Linked DNA regions of Schizosaccharomyces pombe. The protein of the gene in region 2 purifies or fractionates together with the protein of the main gene of each other region. This does not show direct contact. Each region holds a gene or a part of one and is shown on either strand. Other genes may lie near its edges.

Region 1 (4,072 bases), on a different chromosome or scaffold from region 2:
CTGATTCCAGTAGCGTGCTTGGTTGTGATCCTGAAGGTTTCCCTACTACTGAATATATTGCGAACCATCCTAAAGCCTACCTAAATTATAATGCAACCAGTTGGTCAGAAGCAGGATATGTTCGCCCCAAAAACTCACTCATGGACGGATGTTGAAAAACTTCATTTTAATGTAAGGATTGCGAAATCCATATTAAGCGGCATTTTGTCTTCATTCTTTATTTCTTTTCATTTACTTTCATAGAGTTTCACATAAACCATTAGTTAGTCCCTTCTTTCTTTTCTCTCAGTTCTTTCATTTGTTGCATAATTTAACATACGACACAAAGGATTTACACAACGTTTGAGCTGACCTTACTTTCAAAATTTGATAACAACTGGTATATACTAGTACGTTAAAATTGTTGCCCTTAGAATGCTATAGCTCTCTAGTCAATCTATCAATCAGCCGAATGTTAAGAGATCAAGCTGAATAGCCCGAACTTGGGCCGCAAAAGTTGAGTAAACTAGATATGTCAAAGACATTAAGATAAGATAAAAAAAAAATTCATTTAAATAAAAGCCTAATAAATTTTTATCCGATAAGCATATTAGTTGAGATTATTAAGAAGGACTCATAGAAGAAGCTGGGATAACAGAAGTTTCAGCGGAGCTTTGAACTGGTAGACCATTTGCGGCAGTATCCTTCGATTGTAGTTGTTGCTCTATTTTTTTGCGGGCATTTTGACACTCTCGTTTCATATACAATTTTTCCCTATAAGTTGCCTGTGCAAAGGCATCTAATTCTTGGGATTTAAGACGAATGTGCTGATCAAGATAATCAAAATGAGATAACTTGGATTCAATTAGCTTAATTTGCACGTTAACAGAATCCTTTATAATAGAAGCCATTTTCTTTTCTTCATTAGTTAGATATAACTCTGATAGACTATCAGAGTCCTCCAATGATTTACCATTCATCTCGACATCATAACTTTCTGACTCTGGTTTGGGATAAACCGATTCACCTTTAACTTTATCCGACTCCTCCTCTTTTGCGCTGCTTTTCTGTGTGAAAGAAGAAGGTGGTACCATTTTGGCTAAGAAAGAGACTACGGATAAAATAGGGTTCTTCCCCTGCAAAGAATCAACCACAGGATTGGTATGCACTTTGTCCATTTTAAATAAAGCTTTGTCGGAAGAAGGAAGATTAAGGAATTTCAAAATACACTCTTCAACACTTTTTGTGTTCACATGAGAAGCAACCTTTGCCCAGTCGTCACTATACATTTCCACTCCCTCTGACAAAAGAACAAGTTCTTGTGCAGTCCATGTATCATCATCTTCAATTTTATTTTGTATTGCGACCTCCTTATAATCAGCAATTGTGGTCGGTGAAGGAAACCGATTTTGTTGGTAGCAACTTATACAAACGTTATATTTTTGGGCCGTTTGAGATTGGTAGTAACTTTCATTAAATTTATTACCGCAACAGTAACAATGCTGTGGAGAATCTGACTGATCAATGTTGTTTTCATGAAGGTTCGAAAGGCTTGGTTTTTGATTCGGAGTTGAACCCTTACCTTTTAAGACATCGTCGAGAGAGGGATCATAAATATTTGTTCGGACAATCGAAGGATCTTCAATGGTAACAGCTTTGGAACGAGGAATTGAAGAAGAGGGAGGTGGAAGAAGTGGTACCAATCCACGAGGAGTATCAGCAAGGATTTGGAAATGACTTGTGGAAGGGGGACCTATTTTCGAAGGCCGAGTATCGGGGTTAACGTTATAGTTGATTAATCCCCATTGCTCTAGAAATCTATGGACACGCAAGACAGCACATACATCACCAGCCAAATTCCTTCGGCAAGCCGTGAAAGTCAAATAAACTTTGGAGTTCAATCGAAAAGTACTAATCATAAAATCTCGGTATTCCTTATATACCTCTGGTGTTTTCGACGTATTTTTTCCATCAAAGAACTCAGGGTTTTGTTTTTTCTCAATTTCGTGAACTTTAGAGAAATCAAACCATTGCGCCCACTCAGGGACTTCTACTTGTGGTAACTGGCTCAACAAAAATTCTTTGGCCTCGTCTCTGACTTCTGGTTCAGTGTCCTCCTTTTTAGAAACATCCAATTCCATTGGCTGAGCAGAATCTGGTACCCCGTTTTCGTGTAAGTCATGTTTATTTTCAGTAACGTTGGACATTGTGGTGTTAGAGTCTAGTATAATATTTACAAAATCCTCAACGCCAAGGGCTTTAAAAGCTTCACGTCAATAAAATGCACTTAATCAACGAAAAATAATATGTATTACCCTATATGATTGAGGGATACCTTGAAAATTCAAGTTTTTTTAAAATGCCCTGCAATTAGTAGGTAGTGGGAGTTGACTTAGAATGACGATGTCTGGTTAACGAAATATACAGCAAACGCACTATACACTAAAGAATTGAGAAAATATTCAATATGGAAAGTAAAATTTATTGATATGAAGTTAAATATCATATGATATGATGACAATTTATACCATGAATATTAGTGAACTTGTAATTATAATCACTCCTATGTGATCAGCCAACTATAGTAAGAATGCACTCCTTGTGTCATGAGGAAATGCTATACTAGCTTTAAAAGGAGAAAAGCAAGCTAAGAATCTAGTAATTTCGCTCAAATGTGTTATAAATTGAGATTAAAAGAATAAGGGAATTATCAAACCACCTACCAGGAGTGGTACATAAATTAAAACGCTTCATATAAATGGGTTAAGCAAGAATTGTGTGTCAATAAGAGTAAATATTCATTGACTGACAAACTTGCCGTAATTAAAATGCGTAACAATAAGAAACACAAAAGAATTTAGTGTCCTCATTTAGTATATACTGATTATATATGTATACGTTTGGGCATAAAATGAGAACGCCAAGGTTTCTTGGAAAACACATTTAGAATCTCAAAGAACCTTTCTCCGAAAACATAGACGAAATAAATTGTATAAGGAGAATTGATAACGTAAAGATATGCACTATTTTTTTTTAAAGTAAGTAATAGTGGCTGAGTGACTGGATTCATCAACGGTACAACAATTAATTTTTATTCAGAGACTTCTTCGACGGTAGGATTTCTGTGCCTTAAATTCTTTAAAGAAGTGGTGGACGTAGAAGACTTTTCAGGAGTTGCAGAAGCAGCTGGTGAAGTGGCTTTTTTTGACAATTTCTTGGATTTCCTTGTCTTCTTTACCTCAGATTTGGAATTGTGCCAACTCCATAAAGGTTTAAAGCTATCACAGAAGCCAACGTCGGCAAGAAGATTGGGGAATAGCCAAATGCCAGGGCGCACGATGACAGCAGTAATGCAAAATAAGAAAAAACGTAAAATAACCAAAACAAAGAATAGACCGATTACTCCAAGGCCTCCCATACTTAAATACCAAGCACCCTTGCGCATAAACATTGGCCACAAGGGGAACAAAACGAGTGCCAATACGACAAGAGCGAACAGTACTGCCAAAGCCATAACGCGTTTTGGAAGAGGCTCGTAGAGCCAAACATAATGCATATCGTCTTGAAAATCTTGATTACGATTTATCTGTAATTCTACAAGCTTCTGCTTTCTTTGTTTAGGGGGGAGTTTATCAACGCGAACCAGCATCGAATTCATAATGAGCAATTTGAGAACTTCGATTGCTTCCTCACGGCTTGAAATTTCTGGAAACCCTTTGTATTTCTTAGGCGTATACGCTTCGGATGTTAAAAAGCGAAGAACACGCTTCACACGAAAGTAGTATACACGTTTTCCATTGAGGATCGCTGGCTTTGTTTTCAGCTCAGGGCGAGACTTGAGGAAGTTTGTAAAGCGCATCGAAAACTTGCACTTGTCTTCATCCTTCAAAACTGGTACATTAGAAGAATCCATAGGCAAAATCCTTGTTTGGAAAAATCTAAAATAATGTGGTTCTGGAGTAGATGAAGTCTGTACACGTCTTTAAGGTAACGATATTTAGGTCACGAGGTAAAGCCAAAATCAAAATTCAGTATTATAGATTTGGGAAAATCTATATTATAAATTTTACATTTAGTTTAATCATTGTTATTA
Region 2 (4,022 bases):
CTCTCCTCCATCTGTCGACGAAATGTAAGTTAGCGAGCGAGCCATCTATTTTCTACTTGCGAAGCGCTTTGGCCTGTACCCATTATGGACTTGGCATTGGGTGTGATGACTGCTCTGCTCCTTCGCAGTAATAAACGTTGCTTTTACGTATTATTATGATTCCTTATTGTTTTTTCTCTTGTTTTTTTTTTATGAATCTATGTAACGATGAAATGCTACGACATGGTATGCTCTGTCGTACTTGGCCTTTCAAAAGCTGTATTTTACAGATTGGACCAAGAGACGTTTCTTTTATGACTTATTATATAATCTATAGCTAGGGTAAATGAAGTCTATTTAAAGTATTTACAATTTCTGCGTTGTATTTCATGCAAGAAAATTGACCAACTAGTAAACCCATGCTAAGTAAATTAATTCTGGTCACTAATAATCGTCAGAGGTTGGCCCATCATCACATGAGCATAATTCTACCTTTGTCACTACAATTTTTCTTCCATTACTTTATAACATTTAAATCCGTTCTTGCTCGCTTTTTTGTTTTCTGTCGAAAACCCAAAATTCATTATCATTTTAATTATCTATTTGACGCTTTCTTGCGGTCCTAATGTAACTCAATTGCCTAAATGTCTTGTGTATTATACCCATTCTTTTGTACAGGTGGACTTAATCATATTGACAATCTTGAGAGGAACCATAAAGTCAGACCTTCTCCATTAAATTCGTCTCCTTAAAACACGACTAATGAACATCAAATACATCAGTCCATTAGAGTAAAACATCTTTTAAGTGTATAGAGATTTTCTCCAATATGGCAATTGTCCTGTTTTAGCATATGCAACACCACAAGCATTGCACAATGATTTGTTTCCTTCGGGTCCTCTTCGAACACAAAATGTTCCTGTGCCCAGCACGTTGCACCAACGACATCTCCATCGGGGTCGTTCCTGTTCCAACAGTGTTTGTGCATCCGACACTGAAGCACTGGGCAAGTTGGCTGTCTCGCTTTGACTAAGATTGCCCAGAGCTGCCGCTCGCCATCGTTCTGCCGAAACATCCGCCGCAAATCCTCCAAACTTAGAAGCTTCACGACGCCATTGTTTCACCAAATTCTCTCGATTGTTCTCATTCTTTTTGGCATCTTCAAGGGAAACTGTTTCCAGCACTGGTTGCCATAATGCACCCAAAGTATCCATGTCCTGACGAGGTCCAGCCTTCGTTCCAGGAACTGCATCACTGTCGTAATCTGGCAAATCACCCTCACATGCATTCTTTTTCAACTTTAAAAGACATTCATGGATTGCATAGGCAATTTCTGGTCGAGATTCCCCAGAAAGCCCCAAATCGTTGCAGGTTAATACACTAAATTCCTCAGGTGTAAGAGGACTCGTTAAATTCCATTCCACCTGATCATTGTAGCTTAACTGAGCAAGTTGAACTTGGATATTGAATACAACGAGCATTTCCTGCCCCTTTGGCATAGGCACCTCAGCCACCGGTGCATACTCTTCGATTTGTGCACGAATACTGGAACTAATTTGCGTTCCATATACATTCGTAGATAAATCTAAATCGGCACACAAGATTTGAGCAAACACATCCGGTGTCATTACTTGCTCGTTCATGTTCCATAAAAACGTGTCCTTGAGTCGATAATTGTTGGGCAGTTCAATATCCAGCCGTATTGGTATGTATACATCTCGTTCTTCTGCAGCGCATTTAAGCTGTTCGTCTGTAACGTAAATATGTCTTGTTTTAGTCGCGAATCTTGGATAGATGTTGTTTCCGGTTGGTCTGCCAACTGCCAGCCCCCGATCATCCGTTTCGAACTTTTCCTCTTCTTTTTCTGGAGTTTCTACTGGCGTTTCAAAATCCTCACCTTGTTCGAATGCGGCGTAATTAACCGCTGGAACATTTCTCAACGAATTTCTGCCTGTATACGAAGAATGCGACCTAGTCGATACTGCAACATTTTTTTGGATTAAGCATGTATTTCCCGTTTTCAAACGAGATGAGTATGTGGTTTTACAAGCTTGAGCCATGTAAATTGTGAAGTCGGTAGTTTGCACAAGTATGCCAAAAAACACTATGTAAGCCGCAAGTCAATTTACAGTTGGAAGTACTATGTTATGTTTTTATTTATTCTATATGATTGTATTAAACGTAAATTATAATCGAGAGTTCTTTTATCGGCCCTGATTTGGTAGAACCGTTGATAAACGTTTAATACTTCTACATTGCCACTGGACTTTCGAATCACAGAATTTTCAAGGATATCTATACAAAATAAAATAAAAAGTTAATTTAGTAAAATAGTTTGACTCCTTTCGATTTCAGATTCTCCAAAACAAACAGTTGCTGAAGGACAAGTAAGGATGGTTGGGTTAGTACGACAATATTAAGGCAAAGAGTTTATTCCTGCTTTATTTTAAGGATATACTTATAGCTGTTATTCAAATTGAAATACATATATCAATATACCTTGTGAGATTAGAAATAAACGAATATAAAATATAAGAGGTACACTTATTTTGTGCATGACATGAAGAATATTGTAAAAAAGCAAGTAAGGAAACAACCATAAACGTAAAAAGGTAAACATAATAATAAGATTCTATATAGGTCTGCGTAAAAGGCATCACTAAGCGAATAAAGGCGGTTAGTTGAGATCCTCCACTTTTTCATTACGAAATGTAGGTTATGCAACAAAGGAAGTTGAGATTTTATCTTCAAAAGAAGCTAAATTATCTCTTTGTTTCTCTCCGTCCTTTTTATCACGGGATTTTTCACGGTCCTCTAATTGAGCTCGAAGATCCCTAGCAATATTTCGCAGCATGGCATATCCAAGATGCATTTTTCCTGAGAAGTGATCAGCTAAACGACGATCGTTGTCTAATCTTGAAAGATAAGCGCTACAAATATCACATACTTGTAGCTTTTGATGCGTTGTGCTAGCCTGACTGGGAATTTCATTCATGGAAATCACTTCATCATATAATTCTTTCCTGTATGTCTTCAACCTATTAAGCTCAATAAAATGTTTAACTGCATCATTCACTAATTTTCTTTTTGCAAGCGCCTCCATTTCTGTAATAATAACTTCAATTGAATGGTCGGTATGTATTATATCTCGCATTAGCTCATCTATCCGTTCTTCCTCCTCTTTTGTTTTTTCTCTACGAGCTTCAGCAATATCAATACGCTTATTACAGTCATCAACATGTCTTTCTAGGTCTTCCAGATAATCCCACTCGTAGCCATAGTCATGTGAATAACTAGCCCGTTCATAATCCGACTTCAACTTGTCACTGTGGATCTTTGGACAAGGCCCCAAATCCATTTTAGTATTTGTAAATATATCATGAGGACAAATACCACATAAAAAGCTTCTGCAAACTTTGCGATCAGTGAAATGTACTAGGCCTCGAGAGGTAAAGTTACTCAAATTACTGCCCATCAACTGTTCTATGATTTTCCTCTGTTCAGCGGCCATAATAAGTGTATTTTCGGCAAAATGTAATTTTATCTCTGCTGATGTCCTATTTGTGGGTTTTCGACAAACGCTGTAAAATGAATAGAAAATTTCACTAGGTTTTACAAGTAGTATAAAGAATTTTTTCCTTTATTCACAATTAAATCAAAATTAAAGTTTACAATCGCTCAAATTTGATTGAGATGTAATTTGAGTAGCTTGTTGGGTTAAAATTCAAAAAAAAATTTCCCGGAAAAGTTCAAAAGTTGCTATTTCTAAATCGTTAAATATAGACGAGGCAATATATTGATACTTTATTCTTTCGATTAGATCAACTTTTACAAATTGTTGTTGAAAACTCAAACTTGACAGAGGGCAGCAATATGCGTCACCTGTATAAATCCTTTTTCACCATTTGGTACAACAAGTTTACTTAAACCAACAACTCCATTCCCCCAATTTTTTGCAATTTATAAGAGTGGAACTTGAAGAAACAAAAATATAACGAATAAATGACCATGTTTTGAGAATGGCATCAACTGCTACTCAAAAC

What was found. The genes of interacting proteins can lie anywhere in the genome.
Region 1: the proteins of sfh1 (region 2) and ssr1 purify together in Schizosaccharomyces pombe (affinity purification with mass spectrometry, with the first as the bait; one study listed by BioGRID). This does not show direct contact.

What each region holds. Positions count from the first base shown.
Region 1 is NC_003424.3:3,603,912-3,607,983, reverse strand, and holds ssr1 (SWI/SNF and RSC complex subunit Ssr1), read right to left. Parts: upstream 2,203-4,072; 5' UTR 2,187-2,202; coding exon 603-2,186; 3' UTR 530-602; downstream 1-529. Other genes in the region: ghs2 (glucosidase), read left to right, coding at 1-155; translocation subcomplex subunit Sec62, read right to left, coding at 3,071-3,892.
Region 2 is NC_003421.2:892,188-896,209, reverse strand, and holds sfh1 (RSC complex subunit Sfh1), read right to left. Parts: upstream 2,058-4,022; 5' UTR 2,040-2,057; coding exon 783-2,039; 3' UTR 531-782; downstream 1-530. Other genes in the region: SPOM_SPCC16A11.15C (uncharacterized protein), read left to right, coding at 1-28; U1 snRNP-associated protein Luc7, read right to left, coding at 2,696-3,490; ubiquitin hydrolase Ubp1, read left to right, coding at 3,999-4,022.